3 linked regions of the Rhinolophus ferrumequinum genome follow. The protein of the gene in region 2 purifies or fractionates together with the protein of the main gene of each other region. This does not show direct contact. Links are inferred from orthologs where the notes say so. Each region holds a gene or a part of one and is shown on either strand. Other genes may lie near its edges.

Evidence for each region.
Region 1: the proteins of CCT8 (region 2) and TLE2 purify together in Homo sapiens (affinity purification with mass spectrometry; 3 studies listed by BioGRID and IntAct, with this or other methods). This does not show direct contact. The link is inferred for Rhinolophus ferrumequinum from reciprocal best matches to the Homo sapiens genes CCT8 and TLE2.
Region 3: the proteins of CCT8 (region 2) and PDCL3 purify together in Homo sapiens (affinity purification with mass spectrometry; 3 studies listed by BioGRID and IntAct, with this or other methods). This does not show direct contact. The link is inferred for Rhinolophus ferrumequinum from reciprocal best matches to the Homo sapiens genes CCT8 and PDCL3.

Annotation. Positions count from the first base shown.
Region 1 is NC_046301.1:60,197,051-60,204,272, reverse strand, and holds the start of TLE2 (transducin-like enhancer protein 2), read right to left. Parts: upstream 3,103-7,222; 5' UTR 2,799-3,102; coding exon 2,775-2,798; intron 2,702-2,774; coding exon 2,604-2,701; intron 2,210-2,603; coding exon 2,146-2,209; intron 1,697-2,145; coding exon 1,652-1,696; intron 1-1,651.
Region 2 is NC_046285.1:95,826,377-95,833,976, forward strand, and holds the start of CCT8 (T-complex protein 1 subunit theta), read right to left. Parts: upstream 3,036-7,600; 5' UTR 2,934-3,035; coding exon 2,874-2,933; intron 384-2,873; coding exon 293-383; intron 1-292. UniProt on the Homo sapiens protein: Component of the chaperonin-containing T-complex (TRiC), a molecular chaperone complex that assists the folding of actin, tubulin and other proteins upon ATP hydrolysis.
Region 3 is NC_046296.1:3,918,009-3,925,895, reverse strand, and holds the start of PDCL3 (phosducin-like protein 3), read left to right. Parts: upstream 1-4,833; 5' UTR 4,834-4,958; coding exon 4,959-4,964; intron 4,965-7,066; coding exon 7,067-7,199; intron 7,200-7,887. UniProt on the Homo sapiens protein: Acts as a chaperone for the angiogenic VEGF receptor KDR/VEGFR2, increasing its abundance by inhibiting its ubiquitination and degradation.

The sequences.
Region 1 (7,222 bases), on a different chromosome or scaffold from region 2:
GCCTGAGGACCCAGCCACCTCCAGTCCCTAAAAGCTCCTTGGGCTGATTTGGGAACCCAAGGACTGTGGAGGGCTGGGAGGGAGGGAGGGAGGGAGGGGGATCTCTGGAACACGTGCGGATTAAATAACTGTGACGTTTAAAAAACATTCTCTGAAATACAGGGTCTGGAGACCCTCTGGGTAGGTGAACACACAAAGGTGCTGGGAGAGCGGCGCTTGGAGAGGGCATGGAAGCTCTGCACCCCTTCCCCATACCTTGCCCTCTGTTCCATCTAGCTGTTTCTGAGTTATAACTTTTATAATGAACAGATAATAATAAGTAAGAGCTTTCCTGAGTTCTGTGAGCCATTCTAGCAAATTATTGAGCCCAAGAAGGGGTGATGAGAACCCCTGATTTTATAGCCAGTTGCTCAGAACTGTAGGAAGCACAGACTTGCAAAGTCCCTATCTGAAGTGGGGACAGTCCTGTGGGGCTGAGCCCTGAACCTGTGGGGTCTGGACTAACTTGGAGCAGAAAGTGTCAGAATGGAGCTGATCTGCAGGACATCTGGCGGGTGTTAAGAGTTGGAGAATTGGTTGGTGTGGGGAAAACCCACACTTAGTGTTGGAAGTATATAGCAATGGAAACAGAGTGGCTTACTTGTAGGTTTCATCCCGGATAGGGTCTGGACCAGGGGTACCCCATGGAGGCGGAACATAGGAGAAGCCTTGTGGGTGGGAAAAGGGTGTGTGTGCAGTGAAGCCTATGCTTTTGTGTCTGCCTGGGTTACAGGCATGCTGTGTGCAGTGTGTCGGGGGGCAGTTCCCACCAGGAGGGCAGAACCAGGCTCCCAAAGACCAGGCTGTACCCTATGCCTGCCACCCCATGAGGGGTTCTATTTCATATATCCATGAGTCCATGTCATGCTCCAGAAAGGCACAGCCCTCCCAGCACCCCCAGAGCCAGCAGAGCCCACACATACATGGAAAAGCACGCCAGGGAGCCCCGTGCACACTACATTCCAGCCCACCCACCGGAAGACCCAACACTAGGCTCCATGCATTGACTAATATTCGGATGGACAGAACCTAAGATTCTCTTAACCTCAGAATCTCCATCCTATTACAAGCCATCAGAGAACCTGGAAGTCAGTCTCAGGATCTCAGGATCAATCTTGGACAATTGGAGTCAATTTCAGAACCTTCCAATCTAACTCAGTACCTCGAGATCACACTCAGAAGCATAGGAGAGTCTCAGAACCGCAAAGCACTAGAGTCAATCTCAGACCTTTCAAAACAGTTGACAGAAGCTTGGGGCCATCTCAGAGCCTCAGGCTCAAAGGGACCTCCAAGACTGTTCATCTGGCCCCTTTCCAGGACAGAAGTCACCTCCACAGCCTCCCTGACTTGGCTGCCAGCCTCTGCTATGAGCGCCCTTGACAGGGATGCTTGGCCCTGCCCACCACTCCCCTCTGCTGGATAAAGGCTCTAGAAATTCAGAATCATTTTCCTATCCAGAGGCTGAAATCTGCCCCCGCTGGTCCCAAAGATTTCAGGTTTAGACCCCTGTTGCCTGGATCTGCCTTGCCCCAGACTGCCCTAGTGTTGAGTCCCTCTGACAGCTTCCAGACCCCCACCCTACCTACTGAACACCTTCACCCCCAACAGTTACCTGCTTATGCATTTCAACGTTGAGCCCATAGGACATCTCATAGTACTGCAAAGGAAAAGCCAGTTGGCAATGTCCACGGTGCCGACGGATGTCCAGCCCTGTGCTGGGTGACTCTGGGTCTTCAGGAGCCCTCAGGCTGGGGTGGTCACCTCAGGGCACAGATCATCCCAACCCCATGGGGACCCCCTAGGGAGAAGCAGGTCACCCTTCCACTCTCTCCAGGAGGTGGGGCAGGTGGTGGTGCTGAGACCCTGGCCCAGAGATGAGGAGAAGAGACATTCTTGTCTCATTGTTCTTAAGAGCTGGGAGGGTCCTGGGAGAAACAGCCTGGAATCCCAACCAGCCAACTTTACAGATACGGAAAATGAAGCCCCAAGAGGGGCAGGGACTTACCCAGAGTGGCCCAGTGAGTTGGGATTCACAACCCAAGTGTTTTCACTCCTGGCCAAGCCCTGTGCCCCACTCCCCCCACCCTGACATGCTACCCTCCTCACCATGACATAATGTCGCTGCATTTCGGTCTTCTCACTGGCCAACTTCTCACATTCCAGCTTGAGGCTGGGAAGGAGAAAGGGCATGGGTACCCCACTCTCCATGACCCCCAGAGGGAGACTCAGGGAAACCGGGACACCCCACGGATACCCGCTTTGGGCCAGTTTCCAAAATGATGGGTTTGACACTCCTCCTCCCCACTTCTTTACACCCCCACCCTCCACCCCCGCCTTCCCAGACTCAAAATGTCCAAGCACCCACTGTCCCCATTTCCCTCACCCTGCGCTTCCACCTGGAAGCTCTCCCCTCACCTCTGGGGGCCAGCCCTACTCCCAGCACCCTGGAGGCCCCGCCCCCGCCTGGCCCGGTCCCACGCGCCCCGCCCCTCTCCCTGAGCTCCCAGGTGAGCTCGCAGGTGAGCTTCCCGGTGCCCCAGGAGGGGCGCCCCGCCCCCCCTCACCTATGATACTGAGCCTGAAGGAACTGGAATTCCTCTTTGATGCGGTCGCAGATCTCCAAGATCGAGAACTTGAAGGGCTGACCGGACTGAAGCGGGGTCTGGGGGGGACGTCTGAGGTCTGAGTTCCCGGGCGCTGGGTCCCCCACCCCCGCAGCCCAGGCCCCCACTCACCGGGTGCCTTCCCTGAGGGTACATCCTGTCGATCTGGGAAGCCCCCCTCGCGCCGGAGTGTGACAATGTGGGGGGGTCGAGGCGAGGGGGTGGGAGAGAGAAAGAGGCTGGGGGCGGGGGTCTGCCCGGAGAAAGAAGACGGGGGGCGGGCGGCGTGGGGCAGAAGACCCTGGAGTCCCCGCGTCCCCCAATCGTGCGCGCAGGGTCACGAGGACGGAGAGGGACAACGAGGACCCCTCCCCTGGGCAGGGGCGCTGGGCGGTGGGCGCAGAAGGTCGGCGAGCCGCGGCCGGGTGTCGGAGGCGCGGGCGGCGGGCCCCGCGCGGAGCCGCCTCCCTCCGGCGGGGCTCGGCCGGGAGCCGCGGGCTGAGCTGCCTTAAGGTGGCGCCGCCGCCCCCCAGGCCCGCCCACCCGGCCCGCCCGCCACCCACCCTGCTCCCCCCCCAACCTGGAGCCGTAGCTCCGGAAGCCCACCCGTCCCTTCGACCAGTGCCCAGTGGAGAAACTGAGGCTCGAGTCCAGCCCCACAAACATCGTCCCCGCTCACTCCCTCCCTCCCCAGGGGGCCCCAGAGAAAAAAAAAGCAAGGAAACAAATACCTGGCGGCCCACGGTGGGGAGAGCAGTTTGTGGTCAGAAATGGCCTTTCTGAGGATGTGGGCTAAGACTTAAGGATAAGGAGGAAGCAGCCTTATCAAGTGCTGGCAGGGAAGCCTTCCCCCAGGAGAAATGAAATAGCAAGGGGCAGAGGCCCAGAGGAGGGCAAGAGGTGGGGGGCCCAGGCAGGCTCTCCCCCACACTGGGCCTCAGGATTCTCTGAAAAGGGCAGAGGCAGGGGCTGTTTTTTACGAGATGGTACATGCACAGCCCTCAGCCGGGCTTGGCTCACAGTATGGGAGTTGGTGTTCCAACTGCCACAACCAGCAGACTGTAGGCTCTGTGTTTCTCCGAAAATAAGACCTACCTGGACAATCAGCTCTAATGTGTCTTTCGGAGCAAAAATTAATATAAGACCCGGTCTCATGGCTAGGTCTTATTTTCGGGGAAACGCGGTAGAAGGCAGAAGTCCCAGTGAGAATGGGAACGGAATCTCTGCCTTCAGACTGAAGTCTCTCTGAGGGCAGGGGCTCCAACCCCCACCATGGACCTCAGACATCCAGCTACTGTCCCTCACATTCACCTGGGAGATGGGATGTTCTTATTCCCATCCTGCGTGTGAGAAACCTCAGAGTCATTCATTAAGGCAATCAACAAACACGTACTGGGTGCCTACTCTGGACCAGACCCTGCTCTCGGCACTGGGGCTCTCAACAGGGAACAAAACAGAGAAAACCTCTTGCCAGGTGTTAATGTCCACACCCATGTCAGTAATTGTGTGAGTGACAATGTACAAAAGTCCTTAAACTTAAAAGCATCACTTTCCAGTCAACAAATTTATTGAGCATCTACTATATGCCACACATCCTCCCAGGCATACAAGAGTGGATGAAGGAGAATGGATTCCTGCCTTCTCTCAGTTTGCGAGACAAGATCACAGCTTGGTAATGATGGAATTATTTGTGTGCACAAGAGAAGAGTTTAGGGAGCAGTGGAAAAGGTTGACAAGAGGGAACCTACTTATCTGGGGTGTCTGGGAAAGGCCTCTTTGAGGAGGTTAATGTTGGACATGAGACTTGAAAGATAAAGAGAGGAAACCATGGGAGGGGAGGTAAAGAGAGATCCAGGGAGTGTTATCTGTGTGTGTGATGAAGGGAGAATTCAATGATTTCCTATTGCCTTCAAAATAAAATCCAGACTCTTCCCTCTTCCCACAAAGCCCTGCACAAACCCCCTCCCCACGGTCCCCATCTTGATCCTAACTCCCTTCACTTTCACCCTCATTCATTCTGCTCCAGCCATTCTCTGTTTCTCCAACTCTCCAGGCACAGTCCTGCCTCAAAGCCTTTGCACTGACTGTTCCCTCTACCTGGAACACTGGTCCCCTTGCTTCTCATCATTCAGGTCTCAGCTCAAATGTCACCTCCTCATAAAGTCCCCTCCTGGCCACCCATTGAAGCAGCATTCACCCACTCTACCTTGTTGTTTTTAAACACCGCATCCTATTCTCTCTTTCTAGGTCCTAACAGAGTTTTTATTTTTGACATGATTATGTTTCTTCGTGGGTTGTTCTAGTCATTATTTGTTTTCCCCTAGTACTAGGCTGTGTAGGGACAGAGCCTGTCTTGGTCCCTGCAGAGCTGGCCCACAGTAAGTGCTCAATAAAAAAACGGGCCTTGGGATGAGAAGAAAGAGCTGATGCAGCTAAAGGTGGTAATCACTGGCCCCACTCCTGCTGGGAAATTTTCAGAAGCAGGGAGTTCCAGGATTCCACAATGCTAGGAGATTGTGATTCTGGTTCTGGGGGGAGAGGGTCTGTGAAGTCCTCAAAAACTTTTTCCAGGCAGCCTTTCTTCCCCCTGTCCCCATGCCCTCCTGAACACTCATGAGAATGGCTGCACGCTCTGGGTCCACCCCTGGCCCCTACCCTGAGACCCAGCCCTGTGGGTGCAGCCACCAAATGGATGTCCCCCCTGGACACCCCCAGGTCATTAGACAAAGCATCTTCCCCAAACCTGTTACACCCCACAGCCCACCCTGACCCCCCCAAGATAGAGCATCAGCCTAGCCTCTTCTTTCCCCCTCACCTGCCATGCAACTCTGCTCCCCTTCCCAACAACCCCTGCCTGTACCAACCCTTCATCCTCCGCCATCTGGATCTCAAGCCAACTCACTGCTCTGAACAGCCTTCACTCTCATCACCTTCCTTTGAGTCTGGCCCTCCCTCACTCAAAGCCCTCCCATGGCTCCCTATTGCCCTTGGGACAAATTCCCAGATCTTCAGGTTAGCATGGATACCCTTCACCTCCTGGCCTGACCCAGCTTCACCTCCCTCTACCAGTTCAAACACTCCCTCTGCTCCAGCCACGCCAGCTGGATTACTTAATCTGTGTTCTTTCTCACCTCTGGGCCTTTGCTTATCTCTTCCTGGAATTCCCTCAGCTCTTTTTCTGCCTGCTCGAAATCCCTTCCTTCAGGGCCCAGCCCAAATGGCACCTCCTCCAGGCATCTTCCCCTCCGCACACACATTGAATACAGACTGTCTAAAGTTGATATTTATTCAATAACCACCTTCTCATGCTGGAAGATGCTGGGGCCTTAGGAAGGACCCGGCCTCAGGCTTTGCTGGGAGGGTTCCCAGGGTAGCTGGATGGGGAGAGACAGAACTGAGGACACACTCCAGGGCACACGTAGTCAATGCCAGAACAGGGGGACAGATCCAGGGCGGAAGCACCCCGAGGGAGATGGAACAGGGTCTCTGCCTATGGAGTCAACAGGAGGCTTCCTGGAGGAGGGAACCTTTACCTACCAGTCTTTAGATTTCTCAGCCAGGCACACTCCACTGAGGAGAGTAAATACAGATTTGTGGATTGCCTGAGAAGCCACAAGACCACACACACACATACACACACACACCATCTCTTGTGTGTGAGATCTGCCAAAAAGGAAGAGATGGTTTGCTCTAAGCAGTAGCAACCTCAGCTTGGGAGCAGCTCTGAGAATTTGGGAAGGCTCAGCTAAGAGTAGTCTGTGAGTTAGGAGGACCCTTAGGAAGCCTGTTACTCCATAACTCGCTGAAGTCCCACATTCACCCAGAGCAGGAGGCAGGGAAAGGCCTGGCAAGGCCTGAGTTACAGCCTGGGCAGTCTAGCACAACCTTCTCAATTCCCCAGCTAACTCGTTTGCCATGGTGCTGGTGGTGGGAGGCTCGCTTCAAGCTCCATCTCTCTGGGCCTCAGTTTCCCCATCTGCAAAATCCAGGAAACTGCAAAATGGAGGAAGGGGCTTAGTTTCCGATTTCTCCCCTCCCACTATACAGAAAGGCTCAGCCCCGGTTCTTGGCTGGGTTTTTATGCTGTGGATGTGGTTTATTTATTTATTTATTTATTTTAAAGGAAAAAGCTGAGAAGCAGCGCTGGGACCCGGGATTGCTCAGACCACCTTAAATCAGCCCCGCAGTCCCAGCTACTGTGGAAATTCCTTTCTCTGTGGTGGTTGGCTGAACGCGCCAGCCAATCCGCCCACGGTGCTCCCACATGGGTCCGTGACGTCACAATGGGCGCTGGCCAATGGGAATCATGGAACTGGCAACCAATAACGGGCGGCACTAAGATCGTCTAGGCCAATCGGAAGGCGGCGAGGCGCTCCCAGCGGGATATGCAGAGTGTAGCTTCTTCCTCCCTAAGAGAGGCTGAGACCCTCGTGTACGCCCCAGCCTGGCTAGGTTAGAGTGAGGGATCCAGTTCGATTACTATCCAAAAACATAGCAGCGAGCCACCCCGGGAGCCTGGTAGGTCTCCCCTTAAAATCAAGAGCCCCTCGCCCAACAAATTACCTTGCAAAACCCCTCTC
Region 2 (7,600 bases):
ATCATGTCACTTTATACAAAAGAACTGTTCAGCATTGAACATTAGGCACTGTCTCGATGGTGAAAGAACCATAAAGTAACATTTGGATTCCTATTTTTCTAAAGATATCTGAATTGCTGATTAAAAACTGGAAGCACTGTACTGGTGTCATTGAACTACGAAATAACTTTCAAAGCCATACTACGTGATCGCCAAAATTCAATTTATATATAATGCTCTCACAGTAAGTTTGAAAGAGCTAGTACATGAAATTCTACTACTGTAACTTTTAAAAGATTAATTTAGAAATTACCATTTGGTCCATATGCTGTACGAGTCGTCTGGGCAAGCTCCTTGCAAGCCTGTATGTTCCTGTACACAGCCTCTTCTAATCCTGAAAAATGCTGTAAAAGAACTTCTTATTAGACGCGACAGTGAAACACAGTAATTTTCTTCATCTGTAAAACGGGGGTAATAATGGTACCTATTCACAGGACTGTTGAGATAATCAAGTAAGATTTGTGTATGTAAAGCATGGTGCTTGGTATTCATAAATGATCCATAAATTTGCTCACTAGTTTAATGAACAAAGCATGACATTTTTAGGGGCCACCAGTACCTATCTACACATTCAAACATAAAGCCTGTAAATTTTTTTTTTTAATGTAGTGGAAAAGTGCTAAGATTAATCAGAGAAAGCATGTGATTTATTTCAGGTAAAAATACCTTTTATCAGTACTTTCTGACTACAAGTTGCAATGTGGTATGAATACTTTTCTAATTGTGTTAGAGCCTGAGTATCATAACGCTAACAGTTCTATGTTCACAGGGAATTCCCATTTAACGTACCTGCCCCCAAATGTTTAGGGACTAAAGTATACAGACTTGAATGGCAACACAATTCCAATGTGTACATACTGAAAAAAATTGATGAATCGCTCACAGCACTAAAATTCTCAAGTTTTATATTGGACTTCTTTTAGACGTGATTTATTTGTGACCTCAGATAGGTTTCATGAGCCTACTGTTCTCCGGACCCTTTTTCTAGAGCTGCTTTGCCTAACATAGTAGCATTAGCCACATGGTTATTTCAATTTTATGTAATTAAAATTAAAAATTCAGTTTCTCAATTGCACTAGCTACAGTTCAAGCGCCCAGTGGCTATATGTGGCTAGTGGACACCATACTGGGCAATGCTGACATACGTTTCCATCATCAGAGAAAGTTCTGTCAGACAATACTGTTCTAGAGCATAAAGTGTGGCTTTTATTACACTCACAAAACTAACTGTGATCCAAACAAGGTTAATAATCACTTCTTTAGAAGGGGTGGACTCTTAGAATAGCATTCAGTCTGATCCCCTGCCCTACACTCTTGCTTCTTCCCCACCTCACCTCCATTCTCGGAGAAACAACCATCTGATTAGAAATCAGATCCCATCAAACCCTTCAATGCTTTTCCCACTAACTCTTAGGATAAATCGTAAATCCTTCCTCAGGGCTACAAGGCCCGACACAACACGTTCTGGCTCTTAGCTACATCTCCTCTAAAATCACCTCTTACTTTCCTTGCCTTCCCTTGGTAAGCTTCCGCCATCACCTTTCTTACTGTTTTAACAGCTCAAACTCATTCCATCCTCAAGGTATTTGTACTTACTGGGCCCTCGGCCTGGAACCCTTTCCCTTTTAATCTTGGCAGGTTCCTTGCGCCACTCAGCACTGACCTAAGAGTTCTTTCATGAACATCTTATTTAATTGCTCTAAGTCTCCGGACTCATGTTGCTCTGGTGGCAGACTTTGCTACTTCCTGTCGTTTTCTACTAGAGTGCTGTTTATATTCTCATCGTTATGTGAAATTATCCTTTTTGCTTGATCAGTCATTATTTCTGTCTCAGAATAAAGCCTACGAAATTTTCAGCCTGACTTTTTAAATAAAGTAAGCAGTAGTTGATGTAGTTTGCAGCAAAGCGGTTTCATCAACATTTACATTAAACCTTAATATTTATTTATACTCACGGTATGCCAAAGTGCATCCCGCCCACAAGAAACTAGTTCCCAAAAACTGTTACCTAAAATTGAACCATGCTGACCTATACTTCCTTAATTAAACACAGGAAATTTGGAGGACAAAAAAGGACCACTATTGGAACAGCCCAAGAGACAAATTTATCAGCAATGCATTAAAATATTTTTTTTTTAATCATGCTCTTTAAATTACATTCAAGGTCTGGCCATAAAACAAAGCAGTTTTATTTAGGCCAGGATGTCACTTACCCTGTGGATTACACAGGTCAGTCTGATAGTTACAACTTAAAGGTACCATCTTTTGGTCCAATCCCCTCAATTTAAAGGTGAGGAAAGCAAGACCTCCAGGGCTAAGTTTTACATCAAGGTAACTAACCTAAGTCTGGCCCAGGACCCATTTGGATTGTCTATCTGTCCTACTATAACGCACTACTTTTACGAAGTAAATGAGGAGCCCGGTTTCTCAGAAGGCTCTTCTTGAAAAGAAGCCGCCAAGAACTGGCCTTTGTTCCTCTCCTCTCCTCTCGAAGGATGGAGTGTAATCCGCCCCGTCTTACGGATGGAGGAGAAATGCACGTTTTAGGCTTGCCCAGCTAGTTAACGGAGGAAGCGAATCCTGCGGCCTCATCCCTAACCCGCCGCCTCCGACCTCTCAACGCTCCCTAGGATCGGGCAAGGGCAGAAATGATCGCGGGCGTCTGTGTCCGAGACCTCCAGACAACACCTCCCTTTCTGGAATCTTCTCTTCCTTAGACCGCTGTCAGGGTGGAGGGTCACACCCGGCCCTTTAGGAGGCCTTTTTCCTTCATTGCGGCCGCCGCAGCGCTACGCCGACTCTTCCACCTTACTCCCCCTTTCTCCATTCCTCACCTTCGCTCCATCCTTGAGCATCTGGGCAAAGCCCGGGGCCTTGGGGACATGAAGCGCCATGACTAGTAAGCAGGTAGCCCTTCACACGCCGGATCGCGAGATCCCAGAAGCAGCGAGGGGCACGCACAGCCTCCTGGGAACGCAGCGTGCCGTGACCCCACGCTCCTCCTCTCTCTCCTGCTAGACCTGCCCCTTTCCCGGCTGCCTCGCGAGATACAGCAGTTCCCGCAGCCAGAACTGAGTTGACGATCCTCGATCAGGTCGATCGATCGAACCGATCGTAGAGCGCGCTTTCAGTCTTCGAGTCTACGCATGCGCAGGCGGCCCAGGTTGTTGAGGCTCGCTCCCGACTGTCCCCACTGTCGAGACTCCGGGGTTGGGACGTTATACTTTTGACATTTCTGACCTGGAAGCCTCGCCTCCCTCCTAATATTAATTTTCAGGTACTCCTCCAGACCCACCCATAACATCAGGGCAGGTGTTTCCTTTTATCCCGAAGCAGAGCATCTGCCCTCATCCGCAAAAATCTATCGTTGGGCGTCTGCTCTGTCTTGGTCATACTAGTAAGAAGTGCTGGGGACGTGAGAGTAATAATTAGTCTGTGAGGATAACTACACAGCTCCTATGTGCCAGGCTCTGTGTTGTTTTCCATGCAGTATCATAGCTAATGGCCAGTCTTAACGAGTTAACTATCATTTTCTCCATTTGGTAGAAGCGGAAACAAGTTTACAAATGATAATTTGTCCAACATCACAGAGTTAGTAATGTCAAAGCTAGAATGCCTACCCAGATCAGACTGACTACAGAATGCACATTTTTAACCACTGTCTATCTTCCTTTTTTTCTGCTTTTGCCTTGAAATACAAATCCCTTTACTCTTCCAGAATCTTAAAACTTGATCGGTGTGTCTTCCCACATCAACACATGGCTGATTTCAAAAAGACTGAATGGTAATGGAGTATTTTACAGAATTATATCACAATGTGAAAGTTATCCCTTCTTGTGGAAAATACAGAAAACATGAAGCAGAACGTTTTGGCTCGGCTTTTGTTCTTTGACTTGAACAGTACAAATTACTATTTTCTTTCGGGACAGATTTTGTGTGCTTTGGGGAATAATCACATGTGTCATGGCTATCATCAGTTATAACTTTTTCCACTTTTTTCTCAAAAAATACATAATTATTAAAATAAAAAAGTGCTTTTTTGCCACCTCAAATGGTATGTGAACCACCTATTGGGAAGCATTCAAAGAAATCAGCGGTTCTCAAAGTGGTTTGGGGACCTCTGAAGTGTGCTAAGACCTCTCAGGGTCCTCCAGGACCAAACTATTTTCATAATAATGCTGGGACATTTGTTCTCATTGTTTCAGTGGAAAATTTGCCAGAGGTTACAGAAGGTGTGTGATTAAAACAGTTTGAATGTAAAAGGCATGAGAAACCAGTTATCTTCTGTTAAACCAAATAAGAGACTTGCAAAAATGTAAAACAATGCCACTCTTCTCTTTTTTTTTGAAAGATAGTTATTTTTAATAAAATATGTTATCATGTGATGAGTTTATTACTGTTATTTTTTAAAATTAATATTAAAAATATCAGTTTTGGTTTATAAAACAATATTGGTAATTATAACCCTCATTAATAAAAGCTATTGAGAATATCAATAATTTTGAAGAGTAAAGGAGTCTTAAGACTGAGAAATGATAGAACCACTGCAATAGGTCAGTCTTGAACAATGATAGAACAACTGAAGATTTTCTCATGATTAGCTAAGAAATAAAACTTATTTACCTGACTTAGAGTATTATTTATAACCCAAAATAAAACTGAAAGGGGTTAAAAATTACACCTGATGAAATTTAATTAATAAAAACTGACTAAGGAATCGAATTTTGATAAAGACCGTGGAAATTTAAACTTGAGGATGAAACAATTGGTGAATCAAATTTCCATGGAAAGTTTATAATAAAAAATTGATCTTACAATTAATTTTAAATAAAAAGGAAATGGAAAGAATTGAAATCAATTAAAATCTGTATGGTAATTTATCAAGAAATTGAATTGATTTAATTGCCAAGAAGAATGATTTTTAGATGAAAATTCATTAATTTTGTATTGCTTGGGTTAAGCTGTCTTCATAGTTATAGAATCAGAGGGTGAAATTTCCACTGGATCCAAATAATAGGCCAAATAATCTTTGCCCAGAAAATAAATACAAATGCTTAACGTGGCTTCGAGGCCTAGGTTTGGTCCCTGCTTATCTCCCAAGTGTCTTCTCCTTGGCCTTCCAGTCTGTCTTCTGCTCACAATAGCCTGAATATTCATCCTGTCTGTTTCACCTCTTCCACATCAGGGCCTTTGCCTCTGCTTTCTCTCTACCTAGAATGCGCTCCCACTCCCTTTCGGCTGAGTTAGTTCTACTTCAGTAAAAAGACCCTTTTGTTAGAAAGCCTTCGATGATTCCTAAGACATTCGCTGTTAGTCATTGTCATAACTTCTCCTTTATAGCACTGATCACAGTGGTAATGACAAAATTATAATCTCAGCTGCTAGGCATGGCATGGAGGAGAGTCTTAAATAATTGTACAATGAACAAATGGATGATCAAATGGGTGTCCAGAAGAGGGCACCAAAGAATTGGGAGGTGTGGTCTCTATTCGTTTCATCCAGATGTACATGCTCTAAAACTAGAGAATATTACAAAGTAATCAAAAGGGTTTGCCCGGGAGTTTGCAAAAGACCAAGGAGACTAGTTTTCTGCTATTTTGATTCAAAAGCCCAGGACTCATGTTAGGTGCCAACTGAAAACATGGCCTTTAGCTGTTTCCTGGAGTGAGGGTGCCTGCCCCTCAGCTCCCTATATTCAGGAGGAACTCCGCTCTTGCCCTGGGTGGGGATGTCTAAGCCATCAGGACTCTGATAACCAGTCACTATTCGTTTCCAGTGATTTTGTTTCTATTTTTCCTCTTTTTTTTTTTGCCACTGTACTTCAGAATTTTTTTATTAATTTATTGGGGTGACAATTGTCAGTAAAATTACATAGATTTCAGGTGTGCAATTCTGTATCACATCATCTGTAAATTACATTGTGTGTTCACCACCCAGAGTCAGTTCTCCCTCGATCACCATATATCTGATCCCCCCACCTTCATCTCCCACCCCCCAACCCCCTTACCCTCTGGTAACCACTAAATTACGTTCAGAATTTTTTGTAATGTTTTAGCCTTGTCTATGTGTTTTACATTTTTTGGTATTTAATTTTGCGAACTCCCATTAAATCTTTAATCTTCTGGCTTTTCTTCCCTTCCCTCCCCTCAATTTGTATTATTGATTTCATATTACTATATCATCTATTTTCACTATTTTTCCATCAAATTTGATTCTTTTTATTGGGTTTTGGATTTTATGACTCATTTTGTGTCAGCTTCTTATTTTACTTCAATTTCTTTTTTGTGTGAAAAATCTCAATTTTTCTTTATAAATATAATTTTTTAAAAAATTGTAATCAAGTTTCTTGGGGCTTAAGAGAACTCCTGTTTCCCTCTCTGAGTTTGGAAACAATTACATGGGAATCAGGCAACTGGGATTCAGAATATCACACGTTGGAGGACATGGCTTAGTGTAAAGCCCAAACATGCTTGTGATTGCTGCTTTGCACTCAATTGGAGTAGAAAAAAAGAAAAGAGGTCATTAGACTTTAAATGGGGTGACTCTGTTAATCTGGAAATAAATAGCCCAAATGAGAGGCAACTAACATTTATTTGGGATCAAAAATAATTGCAGGGAGGGGAGCACAGATTCAGGTAGAAACCCAAATAGTGTCCCAATACAGGGTGAAGGCAGAAGGTTTTTATGAGAAAAGGAAGGGGACAATTACATGAATAGAAAAAGAAATTTCTATTGGTGGTAACAAGCCGAGTTCCTCTTTAGCTATACATGGCTGGTTACCAGTCTATCATCAGAAAGAGACTCCGTGATCAGTCATTGTGATCAAGTGTTTGTTTTCCTGTTGGCTTTATAAGTAGTTGTTTGTAAGACAATGTTGGTTTGGCTCAGTTCAAAGGTTATTTTGCCCAGTTCAAATATTCCCAAGTTTCAAGAAACAAGACGTGCAATATACACTGAGTGCATATAGGCAGATGCAGTATTTGCTGATGTCACTCGTGCCATGACCAGTATGTCTAGTCTCGATTTTCGGTTGTTTAGCTGGAGGTTTCTCCCCTTCCATTAAGAAGATTCCTCTCCTAACATGGGGTAGTTGTGGCCTTAACATAATGTTCTTACACTGCCTTACTTTAAAAACTTCAAGCAAACTGACATGTATCCATTCTGACTATATTAATCATTTGACTGCAGGAGGCCTTAAATCTAAGGTGTTTGGTCCCTCTTTTTTAGAGGCTGAGAAGTCTAAAATCAAGGTGCCAACAAGGTCAGTTTCATTATGAGGCCTTTTATCTTGGCTTGGGGGCAGCCACCATCCTGCGTGTGCAAGATCTCTGATGTAGCACGATGAAATTTCATGCCGTCCTGCTCCATCCTGCCTGGGATGTGAACCATCCCTGTGTCCAGGGTCTCCACACTGTAGACGCTCCCCACCCATTAGTCACTTAGTCTCAGTGATCAGATCTGTTGTCACAGTAGCACGGTGTTCGTGTTCAAGTAACCCTTATGGTAGCCTAATGCTACATCACAATGCCCATGTCATTTACTTCGTCTTATCACATAGGTA
Region 3 (7,887 bases), on a different chromosome or scaffold from region 2:
CTGTGATATGCGGGGGGAAGGAGGGGTCCTTAGTGCAAAAGCCTGTCGGGGGCTGGCAGATCTCCACCAGCAGGATCCAATGGGCCCCCGTCCCCACCTCGTCTGCGTGGAACTGGATGAACTGAATGGCTGTCTTCTGAAACGGGGGGCCAAGAAGAAGAGGTGGGATCCTGTGGACCAGACTACGCAGAAGAGGGAAGAGAGAGGGTCTGGAGGAGAGGGATTTGTGGCCCAGCGACGGCAAGAAGGGTCAGACGTGAGCAGCTGCCCTGGGCCACTGAAGTGAAGGCCGTGTGTGGGTGAGAACGGACAAGCTGAACAGTAAAGAGACTCTATTCCTGAACATTCCTGTGAACGCTCTCTCAAAGGACGAGAAGGTGTGCTGGAATCTGAAGTCAAGAACTGCTTTGAAATTCTTCTGGATCCTGGGTGCGTGAGTGGACTTGGGCTGTTCACCCTCTTCCCCTGCGGTTGGTGGGGGTAGCACACTGGGGGGCTACACTTCTCTAATCCAGCTGAGCCAGGGGATTCTCAACAGAACTCTGTTGACCCACACAAGGCAGATTTCCCTGAACATTCTCCTCCTGAAACCTGCACTTGACCTCGTACCACCCACTGCTCTTATAGTTTCTGATTTAATGTCTGTCTTCTCTCCCAGACATTAAAACACCATGAGGACAGGAGGGCATGGATCCCAAATGTCTAGGCCAGTGTTTTACATACAGAGCTTAACACACGCTCAGCACATAGTAGGTGCTCAGTGAGATTTCTGTGCGGCCCTACTATGGCTTGCTGCCAAGCAGGAGAATGGCTTGTGCTGATGCTAATGGAGGGATTGCCATCTGATGTATTTGAGATGCTTCTCGGGGCAGCCAGAACACTCCAGGGGGTTCTGAGCCCCCTCTGGCCTCAACCTCAGGACTTTAGACAAGGTGGCTGACCTACCAAGGCCTTGAGCCCCCCACCCAGGCCAATCACACTGCTAGCTGCTCAGACTGACAACCCGGCCCTGTGACTCAGCCATTAGGACTCCTCAAAACAGCACAACCCCGCGGACCCCACCCACATACTTGGCCATGGTACACACTGCCAGCGGCTATAGCCTCCACTCAAGAGCAGATAAGCACCATGCTTGCTGCCCCAGAATTGTCCTTCTAGCCATTCTTTCATTGCCTCCCTCTCCTCCAGGGCCACCCCTCCCTACGAGCTCTCTAGACTTTTGGACCGGGATAAAAACCACTCTTTATTGGCAGTCTCATCCTTAAATGCTGTACCCCTACTTCCTTGCTCCTTCCTGAGGACTTCCTGGGGATGGCAGAAGGAGACGCTTCCTGGGAGACGCTGCTCAGGGTCCAGAACACCAGGCGCCCCAGGGTGCCTAGAGGGGAGAGCCTCCTCCCTGCCGTAAGTATTCCAGGCCAATTGTCCCCCACCTCCCCCCAAACATCGTACTTCTTGGTGACTCGTTTCCTCCCGCTAAGCCATCCTACCCTTCCTCAGTGCTGTCATCTGCAGACATCCTGGCGGCACTCCCCCTTCCCTCGAGGGATCTGGGAATTTGTTCTTGGTCCTCCTCTCTGTCTCATGTCCCGTGTCATCCAGGTTTGCCTCAAAGCCCCTGTAGACGTCTGTCTGACACTCTGGGCTTGGAGCTCTGGACCTCTTCATCAACAGAGCTTTACATCTCTTCACTCTGGCTGCCCCTGGTTCTCTCCCCAACCACAGTGCAAGCTTCCTGGAGGCAGGGGCCTTGTCTAATTCATTGTAAGTTTGGAGACCTAGGACAGCGTACGAAGTACAGTCAGGCTCTTGAAAAATGTTTGAGTGAATGGATGAGTAACGGAACATGTAAAAGGTGAGTGCCTAGTCCACATTCAAGGTAGTGAAGTAATATACTAGCTTAATACATCAGAAAGACTGCATTATTCAAGTCACAAAGCTCTCAACTCGTTTGTTGCAATTATTGGTGCAAGTTTCTTAGGTGGAGAATGTCAGTATTATTAATAACTTTAGAGATTATATTTGATGCGATGAAAGATTGCTGTGCTGGATGCATGACTGATAATATTAGATCTTTGCGTAGGGCTCTGACAAGAAAATACCTAATAATTATGGGGAGCCAAAGATAGGGACTGATTTGAAATGTGATGAGAAGTAATCACGGGCAATTTCACGGACAGTCAGTCCTCTGGGTTCCTTTCCGTGACCTGGGATCTAAAATTGGGAATCAAGTCAAGTACAAACAAATAAACAAATGTCACCACCACTCCTCCTCCAAATATAGGCCAACAGGCCATTTTCCTTCTGTTAAAGCTCAATCAGACAAAGACCACCTGGGAGACGCCTGGAGTCCAACAAAATCAGACTTACGGACTTGATGCAGTGAGGGAGGCTCCGCGGAGCCACAAAGCACTGCGCTGTCAGAGGGAGGAGATTTGTAAGGTCATGGCTCCTCCCGAAGGATCTCAGGAGGGTCCAAAGGAAGTGGGGGTCAGTTCTGCACTGGTTGCAATTTCCAAGACAGAAATAGGAGAACTGGGGACTCTCTAAGGGTTGTACACCATCGTGAGCCAGGCTCAGCATCTGGGAGTCCCTTGTAAAAAATGGGTGCAGTAAAACAAGTCTATGGGGCCTCATTGGTAAGAAAGCAGTGGTCATTCCAAGTGGGCATGTTATGGCATTTTACAGCTGCGGCCAGACCTTAGGAGAAGGGCTGTTCTCTGTGAACTCTGCATTTGGCTTTATCTGAGTCTGTCCTCCCAGCCTGACGAATAGCAGGGCTGCTTTTACTCTTTTTTTCAGTCCAAGTTGATTTTCACTCTTTCAGTCCTGGATACATTTCAGTTCTTTCAGTTAACTGGGTTTAGCCAAAGTTTAAATATTCCCTTTTAAATTGCACTAGAGCCAAAGGTCCACATTTCCCTTTGCCATTGTGACCGTCAACCACACCCTGAAGCAAAGTCCTACAAAGCCTAAGGTGGCATGTGCAGGACAACTGCAGGGTGGTTCATTAAAGCAACTGGAACTAAATAAAATTCAGGCTAAAATCGGAGGTGACTTATTTCCAGCAAAGCATGACCAGCTTCATGGGACTGGTGTTGGGGAGCAGTTTTCTTTAATAAGGCCCTAAAGCATTCGCTAAGAGAACGCATTTATTGGCTCCTTATCTCATTACTTATAAAAAAATAGGGAAACCACCTAGAATCTGGACACACACAGAGCCCAGCTATTACAGATGGTGAAAAACAGCTCTTACATTCCAGTGGTTCTCAAACTTCAGTGTGCTTCAGCAACACCTATAGGACTTGCTGAAACTCAGGTTGCAGCGCTCCATCCCTAGAGATCAGTGCAGTAGGGTAGAGTGGCACCCAAGAAGTCACATTGTTAGTGAGTTCCCAGGTGATACTGACGATGCTGGTGCAAGGGCCACATTTGGAGAACCACTTCTCTAACTCAAATATTCCTCAGTGCCTCCACCACCCATACTTTTGTACTTTCTGTTTCTCCTACTTGAAAGGCCTTAGCTGCTCTCCATCTAACTGGTTGCTGGTCTTAATTTAAGTTCTACCTCCTTGCTTGGCCATTGTGTTTGTTATCTATTGATCTATTGCTGTGTAACAAGTTACCCCAGGTAGGACTTCCAGAATGGTAGCATGAGGTGTTCAGGGAAACCATTCCCCAAGAGAGACACCTATTAAGCTGGTCAAGATTAACAAAGACAACCATTCAAAATCTTTAGAGATTGACCAAAGGGTGTACAACAAACTGAGAAACACTAATTCCACAAAATCTGTGGAAACTTAGAACAGTGGAAATGCATGGTACTGAAGCTAGGGACTGCATCCATGTCCCACGGCTCTACCTTATGGAAGAACTGTCCCAGTGAGCTCAGCAACCGAGTGGCAGCTCACCGCACCGCTGAAGAGGAAAACCTCCCTTTCCAACATAGCTCAACCGTTGCAGTACATATGCTCTTATGGGTTCAACAGGTGAATGACAGCTCCCATGTCCCCCAGCTTCCCAGGGCTGAAGCTGGGTAGGTTTGGCAACCAGTGAATTTCAGATCTCATCTTCCTTGGATCTGTACCGCAGAAGATCCATACTGGGGACATGCTTGGGAGTGGCCGCAGCCTTGTGTGGTCAGAACCTCCATAGTATAGAGGTTTGGCCCAGGGCGGAGGACAGAAAATCTCCAAGACGGCAACACCAGCCCAGATGTCTTAAGGTAGAAGCCTGGAGCCCAGCACCTGCATTTGACAATTCAGACTCTGCTGATTTTATTCAGTGCCTACTGTGTGCCCCTATAGGTCGGGCACTTTTACGAATATGAATCACCTGAGGCTCAACTAGGTAAATGACTTGTCACCTTTCTGGTTTTGTCTGGTGCGATCACTGCCATGTCCGCAGAGCCTAGAACAGAGCCGGGTATAAAACAAGCCCCCAATAAATATGTGTCTTATGAATGAACTGCCTTATCCGACGCTGAAATCATAGTGAATTCCAGGTCACCCTGCATCGTTTTTAATTGTAACACTGGGTCACTGAAACATTTCTATTTCTGACTTCTTGGGCAGAGACCTTTTCTACACAATTAGGTATAAGGCTGAAAAAGGCGCACTGGCACTGGGTACCTCCCCCACCCAGCCCCACTAACCCAAGGCGATTGACCTACCCTAATAAGGTTGCGCCCAGGTTTGGCTCCGGGTCACGTGAATTTTGCTGCCCCGACCGACGGTAGGCGTGTCCTGTCTCGCGCGTGCGCACAGCTTCTGCGCCGGTTTCAGGAGAGGACGCACTCAGAGGCCTCGCTCCCTCCCTGGCTCCGCCCAGCTCACTCCTGGAGGGCGGGGCCGAAGCTGGGCTGAGAGACGAGGCGGGGCGGCGGCTGTGCGCGTGCGCGGAAGAGAGTGAGGGGCGGTGGCGTCGCGGCCCGCCTGGATTGAGTTATCTGCGACAAGATGCAGGTGAGCAAGCCGGGGGCACGAGACCTGGAGACTGCGGCCGCTCGTTTGCCCCGTTGGGTCCCCGGCGGCGGCGGCGGACTGTCCCGGCCGGGCCGCGGGAAGCTCCGGACGCCACAGGCACCGACAGGCCACGCGAGTCGAGGCCCGGCGCAGACGCAGTGAGGGGGGGTGGGCGTGGTGCCGCCGTCTGGGCGTTCCCACCCCTGTGTGGTCCACCCCCCAGATCTCCATCCTTGGGGGCTACCCCTCCTTGAGGTCGGATCCCACCTGGCAAAGTTACTTCCTACTTGTTAACTCTAACACCTGAGCAGGTGTGTTACGGAACCGTTGCATGGATCGGGAAGCTGGGAGAAGTGAAGAGTCCTGTCGAGGGTTCCATAACACGAAAGTGGCGGAATCCGTGTTCCTGACTCCACTTAGAGCCCGGGGAGGGGTTAGTTACACCCTCCTCCCGCCCGTGTTCGTGTTCAGGTTGAGGTGCGCTCACCTGACCTCCAGAGCTGAGCCCGAGGGTCCCTCTACCCAGTTACTTTCAGTCTTAAAATGAAGAAAACTAGATCCCCTAGTTTTGTCCTTTTATTGTCTCTGGAATGTGCTAATGGAATTTGATGAAAACCCAAAGAAAAGTGAAAAAAAATGAATGGAGACACCATGAAAAATGGATGCTTTTATGAGCAAAAATCTGACAACTGAATTTTGTCACTGTGCGAGGACCCTCTTCCAAAGGTCTTTCTCCCGCCTCCCAGATCTCGCTGTGGCTGAATCCTCTCTGGCTTGTTGGCAAGTGGGAAATGGAGTTCGTGTGGGTTCGTTTGGGCCAGAAGGTATCCGGGCCTGGAGAGGATGGTCATTGCAAATACAATGTGTCTGCCACAAGCCAGACACGCTTAAATGATGAGGAAGCTCCAGGGCTGCCCGGGCCTCCTTTGCATTCTCTGTCCTTTCTGTCCCTTCTTAAAAATGTCACCTCTTCAGAGGCCTTCCCTGTTGAAAGAATTCTGTTTTTTTTTCTTTTAAAATATCTCAGCAAGACTCGGAGCTGGGGCTAGAGCCTGGCTAGGTCAGTGCCCTTTCCTCGGTGCTCCTTGATTTCATGTTTCAAACCAGGTCCCTTAGCAGTGTTCCTGCCAAGCCATGCAAAACCAGTGTTTGGCTGGCTGGGTTCTGGAGCTAAGAGCCCACTTCGACATTTATCCTTCTGACATTTGATCTTGGTTAAATTCGTCTTGTTCCGTCCAGCACAGCAGACTTCCTAAATGCCATGTCCCGCAGGTACAGGTAAAGGACTTAGAAGCGTTCCCAGCACGTAGTACTCAGTAAGTGTTAGCCCTTGTGAGCTATTCCACTGGGGTCTCAGCTCTCAGGTTTGGCCATTAGAGGGTTTGTCAGCCGGCATCAGGCTCTCCTCCCTCTGATTCTAACGCAGCCACTCATGACTTTGAGATGCTCAATATTTCTGCTCTTGGGCACTTTGCACGTGCTGGTCCCTCTACCTGGGAAGTAATTTCCTAAGTTCTCCTCGTGTCTGGTTCCTTTTCACCTTCCAGTGATGGTTAAATGTCACCTCTTCTGAGAGAGCGTCTCTGCCCATCCTGTGGAATGCGGGCCCCCTGTAACTAGGTCAGCAGCCTGTTGGTCATTGCACTTACAATTTGTATTATATATCTGTTAGTATATTTCATTGTTCATTGCTTGTCTCTTCCTCTTGATTAAAATAGATGGTTCTGGCACCATGCGTCCCTACCATCTAGTGCAGTAATTTACTTATAGTTGGTACATATACTAGGTACTTAATAAATACCCGTTGAATGAATCACTCCAAGTCATTAATAAAAATATTGAGCAAACATCAGGTCAGAGCCTGTGCATCAGATCCTAGTTTTTACCCCAGTACTAGCTCTACTGTAGGGTTGGGAGCTTTGAGTAAGTGACAGGAAGAATGTAACAGGGGCTGTGGATCTTTTGACACTTTCTTAGAAGCGACATAGAATGACTTGGTTTGAACTTTCTTCCCACCACCTTTCCCATTTGACCCCTTGCCCAACGTGGCACCCTCCATAGTGGACGTTGCTCTCATGGTATCCTTGGTCCCACTGCTCTAGGACCCCAACGCAGACACCGAGTGGAATGACATCTTACGCAAAAAGGGCATCCTGCCCTCAAAGGAAAGTTTGAATGAATTGGAAAAGGAGGCAGAGGAGGAGGACGAGCAGCGAGTCCTTCAGCAGTCCATTGGTGAGATAGCTTGTATTCTTTGTTCTGTGTCTGTCTGGGTAGGAAACACTTTCTACGCCTCTAACTGCTCTGGTGGAAGGATCCTCTGGGCAAGAGTTGGGCAGCCAAGGTTTGGAGTGCTGGACAGGACACTGTGGGACCGCAGGCAAGTTGCAGAAAGTCCCAGCTTGCAACTCTCTGGGCCATAGAATGAGGGGAGTTCAAAGGCCCCTCCATCGCCACAGTTCTTTGTCTGTGTCAGATGAGCACATGACAACCCCGAAGAAAGGACTTTCTTGTTGTGATTCCCTTGGTAGACTGTCATGGAGATGCGCTCCAAGGTTTTAGTGTTTGTGTTCTCCTTAGCTTATACTTTATTCTCTTTGTGGTTTGATTGAGAATATTCAAGTCGTTTCATTTGGGGAAGCGTAAGATGTTTGCAATGTGTGGGGGCTGAGAGAGAGGTTCTCAAAAGTGGTTATACCACCTGATTCTGAATCTCCTGGGGTGTTTGTTAAAAAACCCAGTTCCTACTGAATCAGCATCTCTGGGGGCGGGGTGGGTGGCGGCAGCCCAGGAACCTGTATTTTAAATAAGTGCCTCAGGATTGTTGACTCACAGAGTCAGAGTTTGAGAACCACTGATCACAGGGGTAGTACTTTTGTCCCGTTTACATGTTAGAGCTAATTTAGAGGAGGATTTATTACAA